Linked DNA regions of Lonchura striata. The main gene of each other region encodes a partner of the protein of the gene in region 2 in a complex. Links are inferred from orthologs where the notes say so. Each region holds a gene or a part of one and is shown on either strand. Other genes may lie near its edges.

Region 1 (8,008 bases), on a different chromosome or scaffold from region 2:
TTGACAAGAAGATAATCTCCTGTCTGAAGAGCTTGGGCAGTGATCAACAGTGAGACACTTTACCATGTAAGGCGGTCATACTCATTCTCCAGCTTGTAGATAAAACTGACCAAGGAATTCTTCAGGTCGGCCACCTGACTGATGAGTGCCTCCAGGGTCAGTTCCAGCTGCTTCTCCTCTCTCTAAAAAAAGGCAAGACAGACAAGGGAGGAGGACAAAAATGTTGTGAATTCACGCCCATGCATCCATGATCCAATCTGTCCTACAGACAGCCTCCTCTTCAAAGGAAGCAGGGGCACTGGAGATAAAAATCCTACTATTTCACACTGACCGCTTTCCCTAGGGTCAGACTACTTAGGCAAGAGACTTGTGCCTGAGAGGAACGCTTGGCCAGCTGTCCTGTTAAAGATTTAGGTGAGTGAAGACATCATCACTTACACCACATCAAGCAAAGTCATCAAAACTAGCTCATGCCACCTTTGTAAACCACTTAAGCTAACCCAGAACAAAGAAGATTAGCATTCCCTCAGCCTTTTCTAAAGCAGCTGTGGGTGCTGTGATGTCTTTATCCAAAACAGTCTTTGCAAAATGAGTACCATGGACCCTGGACTAATAAAGTTTCTGCCAATCTTTACTTTCTTTCTGCCCATGTGACACTTCCAGCTGCCAAGGAAACTGGCAGCTCCTCCTGGCCTTGTGCCCCGTGGGCTGTGGGAGGCCCTGCCGTAACACAGACTGGCACTGTACCCACACACACACTTTAATCCTGCCTTTTGCTGGGATTACATTGTTTTAAGAAATCTTCCCCACTGACATCCCCTTCCGGGTGAGGGAGGATGGTGACAGACAAAGTGTCAAGACTGGGGATGTGTTGCCAAAGACATCAAGGCATGCCCTTGATTCTTGCAAAATCCCTCTAAACTCTTATCTACTCTAACTTACTCATACTACAGTATTGTGCAAAACATAATTAAAGTTCCAGCCCTAAGGAACTGCTCGAGTAAGTAGAGAACTGTACAATAATCCAAGAGGAGGGTGGGACAAAGCAATCAAATAATAGAAAGGGAATACCGATTGGGAAAGCAGATAGAGTGACTCACACTGTTGGCATGCTTGCTATTGGAATTGTTATTGTTCCGTTCAAATACACTGGCCCAATGTCAGCTTCATGGAGAGATTATCAGGCACCTTCCATGTTCACGAGAACACATTATTCTATTTTATTTGTACTCTGACAAGTTGGTAATCACTGATGGGACTTCATTTCACTTTAACCACCTTAGAACAGCTGAATCAACCTTAGTAAAATTTGATCCCCAGTCCAAGGAGTGGACTCATGGAACAGATTGCTGCTGGTTGTTCCACCTAGAGATAAAAGCACACACACATGTTGTGACGGGACTAGTCAGTTCCTGTCCAATTAAGAAATGTGCCTGCAACAGTTTGTGTGCAGTGTTTGTGCAAGGAGGTTAACTACTGCCTGCATTACAAGCTGGGCTGGTAGCCAGCGTTTTACTGCAGAGGTGCCAGGCATATGCACCCACAGCAATTCCCCTGGCCCCCCACCTGTGCTTATCCAAGAAGCCTTCAAGAGGATGAATAAACCCCATTGCACAAGGAGCACTCTCATGGCAGCAGAGCACTCCAACCCTCCTTCCCTAGGCTCTTCCCAAAGCCATCAGGATCTGGAAGCAGATGCAAGCAGTGCAAGATAAACACAGTAAGACTGACCCCTCCAAGAGGACACTTTGAGGAGTTTGTTAGCAATGTTAAATTGGCCTGAGGTAGTAAAGATAGGGCTTATGGTAAGGGTTCTGAAGGACCTCCTGATACTGAGCAACTGAGAGGGAAAGGTGAAATTCAGAGTAGGTAAAGGTAAAACAATGCAGACATCAAAACAAAGGAGAAAAAAAATCCTGACTGGCTAAACAAAGGGGAAAAAAACCCCATGACTTTCTGTACACAATGACATTATCTGAGCTGATAAGGTTGTAACTCAAAAAGATTTCAGGGTTATCTGAGGGTAACCCATGAAAACATCATCCCAATCCTGGAAAAGCAGTCAAAGAAGTAAAAGTGACTACAGGAGTTATTAGGACAGCTACGGAAACTAAGCATCATTATGTCACCATATAAATGGTGCACCTCCTTTGCATCTCGAATATAACATGTCACTCTTGTCCCCCGAACTGAAAAGGAATAGAGTAGGAATATGATAAAAGCAATGAGGATGGTGAAGAATATTCATAGTTAAAAAAGTAAACAACAAAACATACAACAAACCACCACAACCCAAAAAAACCCAAACAAACAAACAACCCAGTGAAAAAGACTGGCATGACGAAGTGGCTGAAACAAGGAGAGCCGATGTAACAAACCCTATAAACAAGGAACAGCGGGACAATCTGTTTTCACTTTCTTTTCCAGCGGGACAAGCAGATCTGTATGAGGCCAGCGGGCTACGCTTTCAAGCAAACCAAAGGAGGTGGATCTTTACAGCCTGCTAACCTACCATTAATGCTCTTTTCTTTGGACAATAAGGATGCTACAAATTCACAGCTCTTAATAAAGTAACGAGGTTCTCCTCGATCAGCGGCATTCCGTCCAAGCGGGAGCGGGGCGCTCAGCCGCGCACCCTCTCACCCCACAGCCCGCGGCAGCGAGGGGCACGGCGGAGCGGCAGCGAGGGGCACGGCGGAGCGGCAGCGAGGGGCAGCAAGGGGCACGGCGGAGGGGCAGCGAGGGGCACGGCGGAGCGGCAGCGAGGGGCACGGCGGAGCGGCAGCGAGGGGCACGGCGGAGCGACGGCGGAGCGGCAGCAAGGGGCACGGCACATGGCACAGCGCAGCGTCGCCGCGGCTGCTCGGGACGCGCTCGGCCGCCCGGCCGGGCTGCCGCAGCCCCGGGCGGGCGCGGCCCCGCGGAGCGCCCGGCCCCGCTCCCCGGCCCCGCTCCCCGGCCCTCACCTGCATGGCGGCGGCGGCGGCGATGGCGGCGGCGGCCCCGCCCCGCTGTCCCGGGAGAGCCGCGCTTCCGGGGCGGGCCCGCAGCGACATGGCGGCGGCCGAGCGGCCCGACGGGGAGGTGGGTGCGGGCCGCGGGAGCGGGGCTGGGGAGCCGAGCCGAGCCGAGCCGAGCCGAGCCGAGCCGAGCCGAGCCGAGCCGAGCGCGCAGGGGACGCGGCCGCCGTGGGCAGCGCGGGCCCGGAGCAGCCCGGGGTGAGCGGCGGCGCGGGCGCTGGCCGGGGCTGCTCCGGGGCTGACCCGCGCCGCTGTGCTCCCGCCGCAGGTGGAGGAGGCAGGGCACGTGTTCCTCCTGATGAAGAAGGACTATCGCATCTCCCGCAACGTGCGGCTCGCCTGGGTCCTCAGCCGCCTGCACCAGGTCATCCGGGCCGTGCCCGAGCCCGAGCTGGTGAGTTGGTGCTCGGGGCTGCATGGTGTCACCGCTGGTGCTGCGCCGCTCAGCAGCGCCTGCACCCTGCAGAGCATTTGAGCCCCTTTCTCTTCTTTGCTTCTTCCTTTGGTGTGGCTTGATGTTCTCGTATGTGCCGTTTGCTTGTTCTGGCAGGTGAAGTCAGAAAACGAGCTCGATGTTCTCAGCATCCTGCCCAATGGGTGGCAGCCAGACGAGCCGGTCCAGCCCAGGCCCTACCTCCTGGTCCCCTCTACACGGGTCACCTTCCTGGCCCGTCAGTACCGATTTGTGATTGAGCTTGATCTGAGCCCTTCCACGGGGATTGTGGTAAGAGCAGAAACTGCCTCTCTCTGGGGTGTTCTGCATTAAAACAGAAACCCATTTGTATTTACTGAGGAAAGGTTTATTGCTCTCGGTGTCAGTCTGAGCTTTTATAGAAGTCTTGTTTTTCCCGGGAGGGAACCATACTGTGCCCCTGCATGGGGATTTAATGGCAAATCCTGTTTCTCCATTGGATGCTTAATGTGTGACTTCTGTTCACAGGAGTTGTCACTATAATCCAGCTGCCGTTGCAGAAGGATGTTTGCTGTTGGCTCTGCACAGTGGGACACCCAACAGTGAAATTGAGGGTCCTAGGAGATGAAAAAGCTGTTCCCTTTCTCTCTTTCTGTAGGATGACTCAACGGGGGAGATAATTTTTGATGAAGTGTTTCATGCCCTTTCCCGATGCTTGGTGGGATTGTTAAGACCCTTTCGTATCCCTGGTTCAGACATTATCTACCAGCCAGAAATCTTTGTCACCATCCAGGTGTATTCCTCCATCATTGGCCTGCAGTCCCACCAGGTAAAGCTCAGGCTCTCCCTTGGCGCGGCGTGAGCAGCTCGCTGTGCTGTGCGGGTGTCCTGGGAGCACAAGGAAAGCGGGGAGGTGGCAGCTGGGCTCTGCTGCCTGTTATGCTGCAGGCTTGTCTCACTAAAACATGTGGCCTGGCATGATGCAGAAGTGTGTGTGAGCAACTTCTCCTTCCTGGGCAGGAAGCAGAGGTTTGTGTGGAGAATGCTGCCCTCAGGCATGATCTTAGAATTGGACCACAGGGAATATTTGCCTCATGTCGAATGTGTGCTTATTGTTGTTCTTGTTTTGTTGTTTGGGAGTTGTTTTTGTCTTTAATTTCTGTTGATTAATTATTTTTGCCTGTTTTAATTAGCTTGAAGCATTCAAGAAGAGCTTGTATGACCAAAAGCTTGTCTCCCTGTTCCAACTCTGTAGCAGTGGTTAATGCAAAAGTAGTTGTCTCTTCCTACAAACCTTATTTTTGCACTGATCTGAATATGCTGCTTCTTGCTGGAGGGAACAGCCAGCCCCAGTATTGAGATTTATCAGTGAGATTTTATTTGTGTCGTGACAGGTCTGTGTAATAAATTCAAGTCTGATTTATGGGGCCAGTGTTATTTTCGAAGTTCATCTTTGATCTCTTCTACCTTACAGTATTTTCACATAACTTATGTGTTTATGGTCGTGTATTTCATCCCTTTGCTAATACCAGGGGAAGTGCTTGGTAACAGGAGGAGCCTATAAGTCTATGCTTGTTCCCTCTCTCCCCTTCCCCAGCCCTCCCTGCCTAAGCCTTCTGCCAGGGTTTCTGTTGTACATGAGGAGTGTGGCCATCACTTTGATCTGTTCTGAGGTGTTGCTGGAGTAAGTGTAGCAGGAATTTCTCCATTTGCCATTGATGTATTATGTGTCATCTTGGCCTGCAGACCATCATGCTGTGCTTCAGTATCTCCCCTATTTACACTATATTGAGCACTCTGAAGTTGCTAGATTTTTCTTCTTTGGACCTCCCTAAATTCCCACTTTGTATATGAGGCCATGAACTGTGATCTCTGGGAACAGCTGGATAATTATTCTTTTATGGAGGAAAAGGTGTATTGTGTGTATCACTTATCCAGGAAAGACTTTCTGTGGTAATCATTTATTTCTCCTGTGCCACTGTGAGGTCTTGCCCATATGAGGCTGAGGAATGTGGATAACATGCAGCACCCCACCAATCTGCTGAGGGCTTTGTCTGCATGTTGTATCTTCTTTGTCTCTGGTTGTGGACAGGGACTGAGGGATTGCCTGTACCAGGGTGGCATCTGTAAACACAGGTGTCATGCCTGTCACCCTGGGGAGTTGCTGTGGTGGCAGGCTTCCTCTGTAAGCCACTCTAATGTAATGTCCACTCTAATTGCTTCTTTTCTTTATTTCAATTTACTGTTCCCCTTGGAAGATAATTTAATCAGTCTATAGGTAAGGTAGATTAGAAGAAGCAGGCCTTCCGTAGAAGCATCAGACTACAGTTCATGGTTTCTAACAATGATCCCACATCACTTTCTCCTAATAACTGTTTATCCTGGAGAAAGTCAAATGAAGTAGAAGTTTCTTGCCCAAGAAGGAGATTTCCTAAAGTGTCATGTAGGTGTCTGCTGTGGGATGCACGGCAATTGCCATGAGGTACCACTGCTCACACGCAGTTATTTTTGAGCAGGAACAGAGAGAAGTGGCCTGTGCTGTACCTGTGCTTTGTCAGGGATGTGTTTGACCTTTACTGTGCAGCACTGTGTTCACCATCTTGAGGGCTGGTGCTGTAAAATATTGACTTGGTGACTGACACGTGTGTCTTTGGGCCAGGTACTATTCCAGGGCTGTCAGCTGGATGAGACGAAGCGTGAGGCCTTTCTGCACCAAGTTTACACACAGCTCTGTGCCTTTGAAAACAAAGTGGCAGAGATGCTTCAGCAACAATATGAACCCAAACCACAGGTAAGGAGTGCAGAGGTAACTGGGCTCTCTTGGCTTCCTGGAGATGTGCACTCTGAGGCCCCGCTGAAGTGTGGTGGCAAGAGGAAAAGCAGCAGAGGTCTGCAGAAGGAACAGCTAAGGAGTTGGTGAGATAATGTTGTGGGATCCAGTAATGAGACATGAACACTGAGGAAGCAGAACTATTAAGTGTTGAGAAGGACTGGTGAGGATGGTTACCTCCCCCAAAGTTAATGTGTACTAAGACAGCCTGGCTGTATGTTATAGGAGAAATGGTAGGATGTGCTTTCTCTCTGAAGAAGGTGGTGGGAGAGGTGATTATGTCCATATAATTAATCTATAAATAGCTGTGAATATGCCCTTGTTACATTTCTTGAATAAAAATACTTATTTTTTACCATGAAAACTGGCCATGAAGCTGAATAAACAGCCACTTTTTTCATGAACTCCTTGAAATCTATGACAGATGCTGCTTAATAGCCATGGCTATATGTATCAGCAAATTAATGATAGAGTCCTAGTATGGTGTGGGTTGGAGGGGACATTTAAAGATCACCTCCCTTGACCTGCTGGCCATGCTGCTTTTGATCTTGCAGTCAAAGTCATTGCTGGTCTGGCTAAGGTTATTTAGTCCTTAGTTAGCAGTAGTTATTAGAGTTCGGGCAAAAAGGAAAAAAAAAGTCCCAGAATCAGATGACCAAGAGGCTATTGGTGATGTATTGCAGTTGCATATCTGAAGTGCTTGGAATCTCATATTCTAGCAGAAATTTGTATGTTTCAATGCTAAACTGCTGGTCCTGAAACAGGAAGTAGATTGCCGGAAGTAAATAACTCAACCGGTGAGTCCAGATGGTGTTTTTGCAGAGCTTTGTATACATTCCTGCTTGATGCAATATTTCTCTCATGGTAAATTACCCTGTAACTTCTTCCATGCAAATGGAGGAGAGAGACGCTCTCGCAGGCCAGAGGGACTGGCGAGTCCTGCCACAGGCTGTGGGGTGGAGGTGGAGGCCCCAGGGGAAGGGCAGGGACTGAAACATTTTTCACTTTTGAAGTTGCACTTGCTGCATCATTGTTAAAAAGTATCTGAATTAAAGGCATCTGGCAAATTAAAGTGACGGACAGTCAATATTTTTCGCTCACAGGCACGGAGTGCTCCCATTTGTGCATAGCAAAAGTTTAGTTAGTTCTAGTTTTGTTTTACAAGCTTCAATCATCTGTAGCTTTGAGGGAGGAGGGGGAGGGGTCTCAGCTATTCTCAGCATTAGCAGGAAAAACAAAGCAATGTTTTATTGCAGGGTTGAACTGCCAGAACCTTTTGGGGATTAAGGGACTAAGAATACAGTAGGTTTCTCACTGGTGTAATTATACAAATTTCAGGCTTTGCCTAGAGGATATTTTTCATAGAAGGTGCAGAAGCTTACCTACATTTGTTTATGTCATTATTGCATAATGAGGGCCATTTGAGTTGAATGCATAGGCACAAGACTTTGTCTTTATGAGGCTCTTTGCCCCCTCTGCTACAGAGCTTCATGAGTGAGAAGTAGCTGCCTCTACCTCTCCTGTGTTTCTGGGCTGAATATAATAAATTAAGTAGATGCTGAATAGCTGCAGCTTCTAAATGGCAGGGGGAGAAGGAGGTATTCACATCTCTTTAACTGGGAAGTGCTTTGCTCCACAGAGGAATTTTAGTGACCCCAAAGTGACCCCAATTTCCCCTTCTATTAGAAATCAGCTTAATATAAAGCTCTGAGAGGCTGTCCCTCCACTTTCAAGCAGCCTTGCCCA
Region 2 (7,487 bases):
TACCCAGTGAAACAAGTAGAAAAATGCATTTACACACAAAACCTTCACAAATAAAACAGTATTACACTTACCCAGGAAAAGCTTCTTCAATTACTTCTGTTTTCTGTAAGAGAAAAACCCCAAGTGAGCTAATGTTAGAAGGTTTTCTATGACAATCATGGCCACAGGATGAAGCACAAAAGACAAAGTCAATTGTTATGGGTCTGTACCAGAGAATGATAGGTGTCTTCTGCTATTCCAAAGATGAGACTGTTTTGTTTTCACACAGACATATAAAAGTTGTGGATCCAGATGAAGGCTTTGTTTCTTTGTTTTGGGTTGGTTTTTTTTTGGTTTTTGTGTTTTGTTTTTTGTGGTTTTTTGTTTTTTTTTGGTCTTCTAAACATCTAGAGATCAATTCACTTCCCAAAGCTGGAGAAGTTGATTGTCTTATTACAGCTGTCTTCTCATCATTTGAAAAATTAGCATTTTTGAATTCCATTAAGTTTTTGCCCTTCTTATGTTCATGACATTCAGTTACACAAATCAATTAAATACAATTACTTTCCCATCCAAATTTAGATCCACTGCTTTTTAAATTCGACTGAATAATGTAATGGTCTTGTACTAGATAAAAAAACCAAATATGAATATTCAATAAGACCTTCCTTTACCCCCTCCCCCTCTTTTTCAACTTCATTTTGCTCAAAGGCTTCTACATCATTATTCTAGAACTTCAGCAAATAGGTTCTGGAAAATATTATCCTAAAGCCTTTCCTACTTTTTGTAAGAATTTCATATTATACTCAGGTGTGATCTATCACTGATATTATGTGTTTTCATTGTTACATTACAGACACAGAAACATGTAACAAAATCAACTTGCTGGTGTTCCTTTTCCATCATTTGGCTCAGAATTGTCTGCCACTGCTACTCAAGAAGCAAAGGAGAAGCTGACACTCATGTGATCTGCACAGAAAGCAAGGTAAAGTTTGATGCTGACCACCAAGTCCGTACCAGCAGCAGGGAAAGCAGTAAGTTGCTATTTTATCAGTTATGGCTCTAAAAATACAGGGAAATTTTCTCAGGAACTATTTTGTTGTTGTTCCTTATGAATCTTAGACAAATAACAGTACATAAAACCAGGTAGCGTGACAACACAGGCAAATGACAACATTAAAAATGTGAAAATAATCTGAATGGCCAAAATGAGGAATCAGTCACATGTAGGCAATTGATATGCTACAAGCAACTTAACACCACATAAAGAAAAGTACATCATGCATTTTATAATGCCAGCTTAAAACAGAATGGTTAGGCTTTTCTTTCCTCTACTGAAATTCATCACATGGAAATAATTTTCACTTTCTCTGAAATCTACAGATTCTTTCCACTTCAGACATTTGAATCAGCTTATTTTTTGTCTGAAATGTCAGTCAGGCTCCCATTCAGGATCAGCTCCTGTCACCCCAGTGTTTCCAACTGTGAATGTCTCCTATCTACCAAGAAGCTCATTCATTTGTGCTCCACACAAGTGTGATTAATAACCCACTGACCTGGCTTCACAAAGGGAAAGTCCTGTTCAACTAATTTAATATCTTTAACTAATTTAATATCTTTTATAAGGTAATGATAGACAGATATTTGTCCTCTCCACCTAAAGAGGACAAAGAAAAGGCAGTGGAAGTACTTTTTCTGGATAATGCTTTTAATACTACCCCTCATAGCATCCTTCTGGACAAGCTGTTGAACTGTGGGATAAACAGCTTCAGAATGTGCTGGGTGAAGAAGTGGCAGGAGGGCAGAGATCAAAGGGGTGCAGTCAGTGGGGCTGCATCTGGCTGGTGATGGGTCACCAGTGGTGTTCCGCTGGGCTCCTAGAGTTCAGTATATTTATATAATGGTGCAGGAGGTAAATGCAGCAGGAGGTAAATGCACCATTAGCAAACCTCCTGATGATACTAAACTGGCAGGTGCTGTTGACTCTCTTGAGGGATGAGAGGCCTTAAAAAAGGATGTGGATAGACTGGCGCACTGAGCAATCAGTGCCATCAAATTTAGCAAATGCCAGAGTCTGTACCTGGGACAGAGTACAAACAAGTACTCTGGGCACAAGAGTTAACTGCTGGGCACAAGTATAAACTGGGACAGGAGCGGCTGGAGACCAGCCCTGCAGAAATGGATCTGGGAGTGCTGCTCAGCAGCAGCTCAGTGTGAGCCAGCAGGGAGAGCCCAAGCAGCCAGGAGGGCAAATCCCATCCTGGGATGCATCAAACCCATTCAACATTCACACAAAAGAGGTGATTATCCTGCTGCACTCAGCTTTGGTATGGCCACACCTCGAGTTCTGTGAGCAGTTCTGGGGCCTTGAATGCATCCATGGGCAGGCAGCAAAGCTGGGTAGAATGCTGGAAAGAATGTCGTATGGAAAATGGAGGGAGCATTTGGGTTAACTGTGCTTCGTTTTGCAGGCAGCATTGTGCGTGTGCATTCCCACAATCCGATCATGCCATTATGCTGTCTCGCCTACTCGGGACATCCATCTTCTCCTAGGCTCCTGCAGAACTCTTTAGACTGCTTATTTTACAGCAAATTCAGCGCTCTGTGATTCGGTACTGGCTACGCAAGCTGTTTTACGGCCGGTCCTCTGTCCCAGCCTTCCTACAAAGCCCAAGGCCCCGCCGCCGCCGGGAGCAGCAAACACGGCCGGGGTCGGCGGCGGGGCTGCACCGCACCGACAGCGCCAGGAAAACCAAAAGCACCTCTCCCACCTGGCTTTTCATCTCCTTCGGTGCTCCCCACCCCAGAGGGAGCACTGCGGGCCGCGGGGACCCGGAGGCGGCCCCGGCAGCGGCGGCGCTCCGGGGACGGACTCACCACCACCTCCTCGAAGATGCTCTGCAGCTGCGTCTCCATGGGCACCATGGGGATCGCCATGGGGCCGGCGGGCCCCGGGCCGTGGTCCGGCGCCGCCGCTCCTCCCGCCGCTCCTCCCGCCGGAAGCTGCGCCCCGATCCCGCTCCCCGGGAAGCCGCTGCTCGGCCCCGCCGTTCCGGGCAACGTGGGGAAAGCGACGGCGTCTTAAGTCTTGGTTTTGTTTTTCTTTTTGCAAAAATATTCGCTTAGGCTTCTTTGGTTTTTGTATAATATTTTATTTGAATAATTTTTTTTTGGGGGGGGAATATTTAGGCGAAATGCTGCTCTGGTTCTTACGGCAAGGAGCCGCATTAGGGTGTAAGGATCTCATTATTATGAGATCTCTCTCTGCAGGACTGATCTCCAGCCGCTTCTCTCCCTGTTTCTACTTGAGCCCAGTTTGGTGTAATTACTGTGAATCATAGAACAATCTGAAAATGCGTTTATCTAAAGACATCCAGGAGAACAGAATCAGAGCACTGCAGGATGGGTCGGGTTGGAAGGAATCGCAGTGGATCATCGGCTCCATCCTCCCTGCTGAAGCAGGGTCATCCCAGAGCACGTGGCACAAAACTGTATCCGGGTAGTTCTTGACAGCCTCTCCGGTCAATCTATTCTGGTGCTTGATCACCTGCACAGTGAAGTTCTTCCTCATGTTCTGCAGGATGTGCATCAGTTTCTGCCAGTTGTCTCTTGTCCTGTTGCTTGGCACCACTGAGAAGAGCCTAACTCCATCCCGGCATCTTCCTTTCGCATACTGATAGACACTGATGAGTTCCCCTCCCAGTTATCTCGAAGCTGAAGAGGCTCCCTCAGCTTCTCGTCATAAGAGCAGTGCTCCAGTCCCCCAGTCATCCTCTTAGGCCTCCACTGGAGCCACTCCAGCAGCTCCATGTTGCTCTCGGCAGAGCTGGACACAGTAAAATGCAATAGTATTACATTTAAAAATGAGTACAAGAGTATTACATTAGAATCTTGGGATCATTAAGTTGTGAAAAGACCTCTAAGAATGTCAAATTCGACTGCCAAGCCGATCTCCAAATCATGTCCCCAAGGGCTACATCTACACATTTTTTCAACACTTCCAGGGATGGTGATTCCACCACTTCCCCGAGCAGTCTGTTCAAATGCCTAAATACCCTTTCAGTGATGAATTTTTTCCCAATATCCAATCTAACCTCCCCTGTTGCTATTTGAGGCCATTTCCTTTTGTCCTATAGCTTGCTACCTGGGAGATGTGGCTGACCTACACCTCTGCACAGCCTCCTATCTGATAGAGAGCATTATATTTATATGTGTATATATATGCAGATGTTTTTATACTAGAAAGAAATGTAAAATGCTGAATCAAGACAGTGCTAAAATTTTGTGTGTGTTTGATGCTGACACTTTATTTTCTGAGCTGTCTGTGGATGTTAAGCTGCAAACATGCAGCTGGTACTGGTAAACAGGTACAAACTTACGTCTTGTACAGAAAAATAAAGCTGATCAACTCCCTGTCTGATCAACTATCAAGGTGATAACCAGAGGCCTCAGAGCAGTGAAAAATTAACGTTTTCAGGCTTGGAGCTGAGTGGAAAATAGCAGAGTGGGGGAAACACTCACATGGAATTGGATAGACAATTATTTGTTTTAAATGTAAACAGCTTTTGTGTAAATAGGCCTGGAAGAATACATGACATAAACAATGAGAAATGTTATAAGTAAATTTAAGAAGTACAACAGAGGACAGTGATACGTGTGGCATCCGTGCTTGCACAGCTAGAAGAGATGTGTTTTGTAGACAACAGGCACAGGATGCTTTGAAGTCAGTGCTTTCTTTTCAGCAGTGGTTAGGAAAGAAATAATGCTTACATGTGTATTATTTAACTAAATGTACGTAACAGATGATCATTGAAAACAGAGGGGATGCAATTGAAGGTCTGCTTGTGCTTGCTTGTCTTGCTCTTAGAATTGGGCTGCCCTCGGTCTTAACGTGAAGTTATTTATTCTGTAAGAATTGTTCTTTGTACTCTTCATTGTGTATTTATTTAAAGAGTGTTGCACAACAATCTGAAATGCCCATCAAGACCCAGTGTCAGTATTTGTCCATTCAGGACAGACTACCTTATATATTATTAAAATGACAATGCACAGGGTATAAGTGTCTACTCAAATTTTGTGCCAACCTCCTAATCCATTCTCACAGTGACTCATAAGAGGACTGGAAATTAGTTGCCTAATACAACTTTACCTTGATTTTAAGTCACTAGCCAGCATACATTCCAAATAGAACTTAGCATGTAAGCCTAAATCTAGATGGTAATATTTAGTAGACAGACTTGGTCTAATCCTAGTTAGGGTCCTGGTTTACAACTTGCCCCAAATACTATACCATATTTTGAATTTTAAAACTGAAACCATGTAATGGTCTTGAACCCCCAAAGAGGTTCAAATGGTGATTTCTGTCCTGAATTAACATCTTGTCTAACCAGATCTCATTTTAACAAAACTGAGCTACCTATGATCCTACCTTTGTGTAGAAAAGTAGTAGAAAGAAGGCTCTTGGTCAGGCGCAAAGAGTATGACACATTATGTAGATGGTTATGATTAGATTTATTGCTAATACAGTGTCTAAATATTGCCAAAGCAATATTTAGTATACATTATAATATATTAGTATACAATATAAACATGTAATAATATATAAATGCACTATAACCGGCTTATATTATAACCAGCTGGAAATATACAGATTTACAGTCTTTGGCCTTACAGAATTCACAATGGCAAAGCACCTGTGGAGATGCTTTAGGATTTTATCTCTTTACCTGACTGGGTTTTGGTGCTTTTATTCACCTGCCCAAAAGTGAGTGTTCCTCATCTTTAGGCTGAATGTACCCTGCAGGCATCCCTTCCAGGACAGGGGGATCTGCCTGGAAGCTGCCTGCTGCCTGGGAGACCAGTCTGCCCAGTTGGCCCAGTCTCCAGCAGTAGTTTAAACACTTTTGCAGGCTGATGTGTGCCCAAGTCAGTCGAAATCATTACACCTCCCTGTCTCTGAAATTTGTCTTTGTGGAATATCCATACTGTTCCTCCTGGAATGATCACTGTCCGTTCTTATCTTAGCACCATTCTCACTTGGTTTTCTTATTTTAGGACAAATCATATTTCCCATGGGACACAATTGTAAAGGAGAGGGGTGTGTGTATGGGGATGGGCACACTTGAGGACCTGATGAATTTATCTCAGTCAGAGTTTAGCAGAGAATCTCATTGGGATGGAACTGGGAGCAAGGGGTGCTGGGGCAGGTCAGGCCTAAGCAAAGATCTTCCTGCTTTGCCTGAGGGAGCCAAGGATCCAGGGGGAGAAACCGTACTGCCATTAACCCTGGAGCGACTGCACCTGGGTCCATCTGCCAAGGCATGAACCATTATGAGACCCTGCCTGTACTGAGTAACAGAGCCACACATTTTACCAAACAAGGCAGAAGAGGTGAGGATGAAATTACTCTCTTCACCCAGACACAGAAAAAGAAATGCACTTTTCAAAATTATTTGTAAATACTATTACTCTAGCAAAACCACCTTCATCAAAATGACCATTTTAATGACATTTATGAGAAAAATGTTTAAACTTTGAAATGTTTTTTTCCTGAGTGCTATTCATTTTAGAAGACAAATGACAAATGAGTACAAAGATATCTTAGAATGTATGGTGTATAGGGTCTTTCTGGCTCTTCATGGCCCTGGAGGACTTTTAGCTTCTTAGCAGTGAATATTGAAAGTGTCTACAACACAGCGTTATTCAGAAATTATCCTCCCCAGTTTCCTGACATGCTTGTTAACATGTATATGTCAGAGATGTCCTGCCTGCGTTCTTTGAAAACACCTTCTTCTTCCTGAAAGTATCAGATGAACTGAGGACTGCAGTGTAACTATGGGGGAATAGGTTTTTTTATACCCTCACCCTGCATTGGTATTGTGTCAGTCTGTATGCAGAACAGTCACTCAGAGTTATGATTTAGTAATAGAGAGCAGAAAGGATAATTATGTCCTTCTTCCTTATTGGTTTTTTTAGTCTTATGTATTGATCATATGGATTGTTTGATTTTTTTAATGTGAATTTTCTTTTGGTAGGGATGAAAATAAGTATTTTTAACATATGAGGCTGTTGATCTTGAAACAGAAAAGTTTGGGTTCTTGATTAATAGTTATCAAGTTTAATAATTGAATTTTATTGGTGAAAAATGTTCTAGAATATTGTAAATCATCATGAAGACAGTATAGTATGTCAAGTTAGAGCAATGATTGGGTAAAAGTAGCAAAATCAGGTATATGGGATCACATTCTGTTCATTTTAGCTGTTGCTGAGCAGTTCTTAAACAGACTGAGAGCCTCCTCTCTGAGTAGTGTGGAATGCACAAGAGGCTGGAGGGGGCACAGCTGGGACATCAGACCCCAGCTGGCCAAACTGATATTCCACACCATATGATGCTGTGCTCAGCGATAAAACTTTGGAGAAAAAAAAAAAAAAAAAAAAAAAAAAAAAAAAAAAAAAAGGCATAGGAAATGGCCAGAATAATAGTGTCTGCCTCTCCAAGTAATCATGAC
Region 3 (7,250 bases), on a different chromosome or scaffold from region 2:
GTTCAGTCTCACCTTTAGACTCACCCAATTTAAATATCTAACTTCGTCACCTTGCTGATAAGCAGCTGGAAACCATCTACGTGGGGAATCGAGCTCAACAAGCAAACAGTTCCAAAGGAAGGTGCCAAATTTGAAGTACAACATTGTTGAGAAATACAAATATTGTCAGTCTTTCAAAGGGCTGGGTTTGAAAGCAGGTTCAGGGCACCAGGAAAAGGGGGGGAGAGGAATCACAAAAACTGAAGGTTTACAGATTTTGCATGGGAATAGCTGGTTAGTTCCTGGTGCCTCCTTCTGAGGGCTTCTCACTGATGGTGTGAATTCCAACCAAAACAACTCCAAACAGTTCAAGAGCTGCCCAGATCTCTACACTTCTTATTACATAATGAGTTTTACTATTTGAATTTAAAAATTCTAATTGCCCAACAAAAGGGATCTTATCAAAACATGTTTAAGACATCACTTGTGAATCACAGGCACAGCTTTCAGCACAGCTTTCTCATGAAGAAGCTGCCAAAACTCATAGGCTTGTGTTTTGGTTTTTTTTTTTCCAAGGGAACAAGTGGGGAGCAAAACCCTTGTTTCTTGAAAATCCAGCAGTCCAAGGTGAGCTGAACACAGAGCAGATGGTTGATCATTGCTGTAATAATTTGGTGAGGGTTACAGCAATATATTTCTATTTTCTGGAGACAACACTCGACTTGGTGCAGGTGTCAGAAGCCAGCCCTGAGTACTTCCAGTGACCAAAGGATGGTGTGAGCAAGCTCCTACCTGAGAGGTCATGATGGATCAGGTCAGCAAAGTTGGGGTCATCCCCCCACCAGAATATCCAGAGCTCCCTGCGCCCAGGCCTCTGGTCCCGGCGCCAGACGCTGAGCACGTCGGCCTTGAGGCAGCGGCTGAAGCTGCTGAGGATGGGATCCTCCTCCGTCACCGGGAACAGGATGGGGGCAGACGTTGGGCCCTGCCACACGTAGCGCTTCCATTTAATCCCAGTCAGATCAGCCTGGAGAGAGGAAAGAACTGTCAGGGCTCAGGCAGCTCCAGCGAGCACATCCTGCTTCGAGGTGATGGCACGGGGAGAAAGGGATCCCTCAGAATTGAAACACGTTGGTTAGTTTTGTGTGCCTTAGGAGGTACATTGGGAACAATCGGGGATCCTGCTTTAATAGCTCATTAAATAACTGCAGTAAAGCAAGAGTTGTTTGTTTGCACTGCAGCTTTAAGGTTACACAGAGAAAAATCAGATTTGATTTAAAGTAAAGAGTGAAAGACGAGTGAGTAATGTTATTATTCACAGACTGACACAGTCCAATCTCCTAAACACTTGCCTTAGCAAAGAACATCTTTGGCTTTCTTTACTTGTGCATACACTGCCTTTTCCATCCAAGATTACTCCATGGAAATAGGTGATACAGTAAATCACACATTCTTCCAGCCATCTACCACTTGGGAAAATTTCACAAGTTTCTCCATGGTAAAAAATTCTGTCTTTCCCTCGGGAAGTCTCTCGTGTTCACTGATTTTACCAAGAGCTATCATACTTTTCATTCCTCACACCACATTTCAAGGATTTAAATCCTCGTTAGACCTGCAAGCACGTTGATAATGATCCACTAAACCCCTTCCTAGGCAATAATTAATTTGACTTTACACAGGGCAAGAGTTACTACTCTGTGTAATGGGAAGCAGACAATTCCTGGATTATCTCCACCACAACACCAAGTTTTAGCTCTCAGTTTTGTCACTCAAGCACCTTAAGGCAGGTAGGGGAGGCATTGCCCCGGGTTCTCTTTGGGAAGGCAGAGCAAGGCAGGCTGGCATTTGCTAAGTTACTATTTTTTGTCTTCCCAATATGACAACACACAAAAGATTACTGCAACATTTAAACCTAACATGGCAGCCTCCCTACCTTCAGCAGGAGAGCAATTTGGATGAAAGGTTGTCTGCAACAGTTGCTACTTGAGAAAGACTTTCAGATTTAAAATTGTACTATTAATCTGGAGCTGCAGGCCTGGTGCAGGCTGCAGACATAGTCAGGCCGTCCAGATTCCCCTCCATCCAAAAATACGAGTGCCACAGATTGGCACAGGATTGTTGTAACAATCTCTGGAATCATAAATATCAGTCAGACAGCTAAGATTAGCTCATTTGCATTAAAAGCTGATGAAACAGCTCAGCACAGACACCAAAAAATTGCATCACAGTCCAGTTATATCGAATTTACTTTTGGAGCTACCAAAATTCAACAATATGAACGATGTGCTACTTGGCTTAAAAAAAGACTACAAAATGGTGCACATCAAAACACAAGACAGGCAGGGCATCACCAAAAGCAACCCTCCAGAATAAAAGCAAGCAGGGAAAGGGATCCGTTTAAAAGCGAGGAATACGGGAGGTTTCGCCTGGGATGTCACGAGCGAGGAGGGAAAAGAGAAAGTTCCCCGAGATGTGGGGCCGGGAGGAGAGGCAGCAGCAGCTCCCTTCCCTTGTGAGAAAAGGCTCAGAGGCAGGGATAGAGGGGAGAAAGGAGGAAAAGTTGGAAGGCACGGAAAGGGAAGGAAAAGGCGAGTTGCGGGGAGGCTACTATCCAGGAAGAAAGCGGAGGGAGGGGCGAGGCGAGACAGACAGCGATGGAGGGGAACCAGAGGGGCATGGGAGAGTTGGCTGCTCCAGGCAGGGCCTACTCCGAGGGCTCATCCAGCAGAAGCTCTGCTAAAAATGGCTGCTTTGCTTCCACTGCCCCTTCCCCCTCCCCAGAGCTCCCAGCCCTTCCCTCGGTGGCCCCGGGCGAGTGTGCGCCGGGGGCCGACACTCACCAGGCAGAAGAGGTTGGAATGGCAATCCTCCAGGCTGGCCCCGTTCGGCACGAAGCAGGAACTCATCCTCACAGCCACAACCCACACGCCATTATCCCACAGCCTCCGACAAGAAAGAAAGAGACAGACAGAGAGGGAGAGAGGGAGAGAGAGGGAGAGAGGGAGAGACAGACAGCGAGAGGGAAAGGGGGAGGGGGGCTCTGCACACGCACAAATAATAATACAATTAAATAAGGGATTTACAGACACACGCACGCGAAATAGTGGCAGGGGGAATAACCCGCGAGGAGAGACAGAGAGGTATAGGAGAGGGGGGTAAAAATATATTTAAAAAAATAAAATTAAAAAAAAAAATTAAAGAGGAACTCAGAACGTTTTTTCGTCTTCTGGAGCTCAATCGGGGGTGTAAAGCCGCCGTGGAAGGGGAGAACAGAAAGAGGGAGGTGGTAAGTAATCCAACGACGGGAGATTAAGATCAAAATCCTCCCTGTTCCTCTTGTCTTCTCGTTCGCATAAGGAGGGGAGGGAGAGGAGGTAAGGTGAAGGGGTAATTGATCCAACAAGAGAATAAAAATGGGGTAATTAATCCAGGGGGCTAGGGGTAAAAATCAGTTGACATCCCTCCTTCCTCTCTTCTCGGATGCCAAGCAAGAGAAGCAGGAAAAATAAATAATCCAGCGGGGGCAATTAATCCAGAACCCCCCCTCCTCTTCCTCCTGTTCCTTTAGTCATCAGATGAGAAAGGGGCAAATTGTGGAATGACTGGGAAGGATTGGCCGTGGGAGAGAGAAAAATCCAGGCTCGTCTCTTCGGAGTCCGAGGGCAACAGGGTGTGGGGGGGTCAGATTCTTCTCCCCTGCTCCAAAAATATTCCAAATAAATTAAAATTTAAAATCATAAAAACAAACTTCAGGGGCCAGAAGCAAGGCCAGTCTGAAGAATTCGTAAAGGCAGAGCAAGAAAAATTTCCTGGGGTGTACCCCAAAAAAACATCTGCGGGGGCAGGGGAGGGGGGAAGGTATTCCTTGAGAGAGAAAGGCCGCAAAAGTCTCCTTAGCAGCCCAGCGGGGGATTAAATTCCCGTGTGGAAACCCCCCCTCCCCAAAACGAAATACTCCTCGCAGCGAGGGCGAAACCAAAATATCCTCCGCTGGGTAAAAATTCCTTCCGTGGGGAGAAGGAGGGAGGGGAGAAGGGTGGAAGGAGGAAATTGCGGGTGACCCTCGAAGTCTCTTCGGGGAAGGATGGAGGAGTCTCCGGGAGGCCGATCCCCAGCCTTTTCGGGGGAGGAGGAGGCGGAAAATCGCAGAGTGTCTTCGGGGAGCCTGGTCCTCCCCAGCTGTCCTCGGGGGCTTCGGGGGGACCCCGCAAAGTCTCTTCGGGGAGCCCGGACCGCGCCGAGTCACGGCGGGGAGGGGGCAGCGACCCCCGCCAGACCCCCGGCCGCGGGGGGGGCGAGGCGGGACCGGCTCGGCTGCGAGGCCGGTCCTTTAAAAATAAAGGGGGAAAAAATAAAAACAAACAAAAAAAAAAACCAAAAAAAAACCCCAACAAAACAGCGGGAAAAAAAAAAAAAAAAAAAAAAAGGCGGGGTGGGGGGTTGGAATATAAAAAACGATCGTCTTCGGCCGGTGTGTCCTGGGGGGCGGGGGAGCCCCGAGAGCGCTCGCTGCCCTCAGGTGCGGGTCCCCGCGGGGGCGGAGGGCGGAGGGCGCCCTCGCCGAGGCTCCCCGAGGCTCCCGGGCAGGGCGGGCAGGCGGCGGCCGAGCCCCGGGCTCTGCTCAGCCCCGAGGGGTCGGAGCCCCGCAATTCCCGGCGCCGCCGACACACAGGCGGCCGCTGCTGCCGCTGGCGGAGTCGGTGCCGCCAAGCCCCCGCCGGCGCGTCGGCTCCCCTCAGCGGTGCCTCTGTCGGCGGCTGCCCGGCCGCGGCATCCTGTGGCGGCGGGAGCCTCAGCGCGGGTCCCCCATGGCCGGAGCGGGCGCGGATCCGGCTCCCGGCTAATTCCGAGACCCTTTTTCTTTAATGGCGGCCGCAGGGACGGCGGTCGGGGCCCCCCTGCCGCGCTCCCATTGGCCGCCGCGCCGTCACGTGGGCGCGCACCGCCATGGCCGCCGGCGCCGCTGGGGGAAGGCGGGTGCGGCGGCGGCGCGCGGCCGCCAGGGGCGTGCGGGGCGCTGCGGAGCCCCCGCCTTGCTCGTTGGGGCGGCGCCATCTAGCGGCCGCGGGCGGCGGCGGCGGCGCGGGTTCGAGTCCCGCTCCCGCCGGGCCCGCGGCTCCCGGGCCGCCGGGAAGGGGCAGCCCAGAGCACAGGAGCATGGCTGGGACACTGGCACCAGTCCTTGGACGCTTCTTCACCTTCTTCCTCTCGTTCAGACATCGGTTCCTGCCCGTTGTGCCATGTCCTGGCAGCACGGGGCAGAGCCTGGCGCGTCTTTTGGCACCCCCAGTTCGATAGTTACACACCCCTAAGGCCCCTTATCCCTGCCGGGGCTCCTGTCCGTTCCTGGGGCTGATCCCGGTTTGGCCCGTGAGGGTTGGACTCAGCAGTCCCGGTGGATATCCCGGGATTCGGAGCCCAGCCCAGGGCACGTCCGGTCAGCCTGGGCCAAAGTCCGGGCACAGAGTGTCCCCCAGCACAGGAACACTCGCCTTGGCTCCCCTTCCTCAGCTTCCACCTCTTGGCAGAGGATTCCCCAGATCTGCACCACGGAGCAAATTCCAAACTGAGGCCGTTGGAGCCTTTTTGAAAAGATAGGCAAGAATTGTGAAAGCTGATTTTAATATTTAATGCAAGTGTTAATGCTCTCACTAGTTCCACAGACAGCCTCTCTGCCAAAGCAGAGCCCTACTCCAAAACCCATTTTTTTCCATGCCCAGATCCATATTATGCAGTTCAAGAGGATGAAGTAGGTGGCTTCTCTGTTACTACATGCACAGATTTGCAGAAGGACTGTGAGATTATTCAGAATTAAGATGCTACAGTGACAGTGAAAGCTATTTTTAAGAGATGTTTGGAAAGTGTATACATCTTACTAATCCTCTCATATTACACATTAATTTTCTAGGCAATGCCTTGCATGTAAAATGGAAAATTTTAAATTACTATATGCAGAATTTTTACTGCAGTGTTCAAGCGAAAACACAAACCAGTGTAAAGCAGCTAAAGTCAAAGAAAGCCCCGAATGTCTCAGCTAACCTGACATTCACATTAAAATATGATATGTTCATGCAACAGCAGCACGTTGATCACAACTATGCAACACGATGATGTTTCAAAGGCCCTGCAAATTATTTCAGGACTCCTGAACAAGACGAGCGACAACCTTCTGCAAATGTCTTGATAGAGTAGGAGGAAAGAAGGACACTCTATAAATAAACTTATCATATAAGTTAAAAAAAAAAAAAAAAAGTGAGGCTAGATATATTCGCCAAGAGAAACTTTGAAGATTTACTCACACTGAGCCTATTTTTGTATGCCAGTGTAGGCAAGCAAGATTCTTCTTTTCATCTAAATAGAAGCAGAGTATTTTTAAACGCAGGAGATTCATTCCCTCAGTGCTCATCGAAACACGGCAGCTGGGGCCGGAGCCGGGATGCGGGGGGAGGGCTCCGGGGGGAAGCAAACCCCTTTCCAAAGGGAACAGATGGTTTTCCCTGGGCTGGCTGCAGCCCAGGGCTGCGAGGAGCATTCCTGGGTGCCCGGGGCCAGCCCGAGCCCCTCGGGAGTCCCAGCGGCACCGTGATGTCCCTGCGGGAGAGGTTCTCAAGTCACTCTTCCCCACGGAGAAATCCAGGGGGATGGAGGACATCGGGGAAAGCGGCATTAAGCACGTGGGAGATGGTATGGGTGTAGCACTAAGAGGAAAAATAAATCATTTGGTAAAAGGGGTTTGGTAGATTTAGATATCCAGGATAATGGTTCTTGCAAGTCTGAATTGATTCCAGGATCATTTTCCCATTTCTTGTCCCTCAAACAGCACAGCTCAGTGTCTGGAAGAGAGGATTAGTGTCTAACACTGGCTTTGGTGTGGCTGCACCTCCCAGTTTTGAGCACCTCAGCTCATTTCTCCACATAATGCATTTTGGGATCTGGTTCATCAGTCCTGGCACATTCATCATAATAAACCCTTCTGTAGGATCCCAGCACAAGTGCAGAACATCATTTATCCAGTAAACCTAAACACAGGATAAGGAGCTGATAAAATATCTACAAAAGAAGGAAGAAACCTAAGACATCAACTGGGGAATTTTGAACTCAAACCCTTCCTGGCTCAGAACCTTGAAGCTTTCCCAGTCCCATGCACAGGACCTGAGAACACCAAGACACAATGGAGAATAATCCCATCCATGGCAGGTGAATTCTGCACCTGAAACACTGCTTGCCCTTGGTACTCTTTGGGAAATAAAGCCTCCTGGAAAACAGAGAGG

What was found.
Region 1: MED23 (region 2) and MED8 share a complex: the UniProt entries of both Homo sapiens proteins name them as parts of the mediator complex. The link is inferred for Lonchura striata from reciprocal best matches to the Homo sapiens genes MED23 and MED8.
Region 3: MED23 (region 2) and MED13 share a complex: the UniProt entries of both Homo sapiens proteins name them as parts of the mediator complex. The link is inferred for Lonchura striata from reciprocal best matches to the Homo sapiens genes MED23 and MED13.

Annotation. Positions count from the first base shown.
Region 1 is NC_134611.1:15,037,218-15,045,225, reverse strand, and holds the start of MED8 (mediator of RNA polymerase II transcription subunit 8), read right to left. Parts: upstream 3,009-8,008; 5' UTR 2,973-3,008; coding exon 2,967-2,972; intron 2,625-2,966; exon of another isoform or gene 2,516-2,624; coding exon of another isoform or gene 2,513-2,515; intron 183-2,512; coding exon 64-182; intron 1-63. Other genes in the region: KICSTOR complex protein SZT2, read left to right, coding at 3,055-3,084, 3,289-3,414, 3,571-3,744, 4,091-4,261, 6,092-6,223. UniProt on the Homo sapiens protein: Component of the Mediator complex, a coactivator involved in the regulated transcription of nearly all RNA polymerase II-dependent genes.
Region 2 is NC_134605.1:59,767,058-59,774,544, reverse strand, and holds the start of MED23 (mediator of RNA polymerase II transcription subunit 23), read right to left. Parts: upstream 3,003-7,487; 5' UTR 2,917-3,002; coding exon 2,857-2,916; intron 104-2,856; coding exon 72-103; intron 1-71. UniProt on the Homo sapiens protein: Required for transcriptional activation subsequent to the assembly of the pre-initiation complex. Component of the Mediator complex, a coactivator involved in the regulated transcription of nearly all RNA polymerase II-dependent genes.
Region 3 is NC_134622.1:9,291,446-9,298,695, reverse strand, and holds the start of MED13 (mediator of RNA polymerase II transcription subunit 13), read right to left. Parts: upstream 3,009-7,250; 5' UTR 2,886-3,008; coding exon 2,820-2,885; intron 1,007-2,819; coding exon 772-1,006; intron 1-771. UniProt on the Homo sapiens protein: Component of the Mediator complex, a coactivator involved in the regulated transcription of nearly all RNA polymerase II-dependent genes.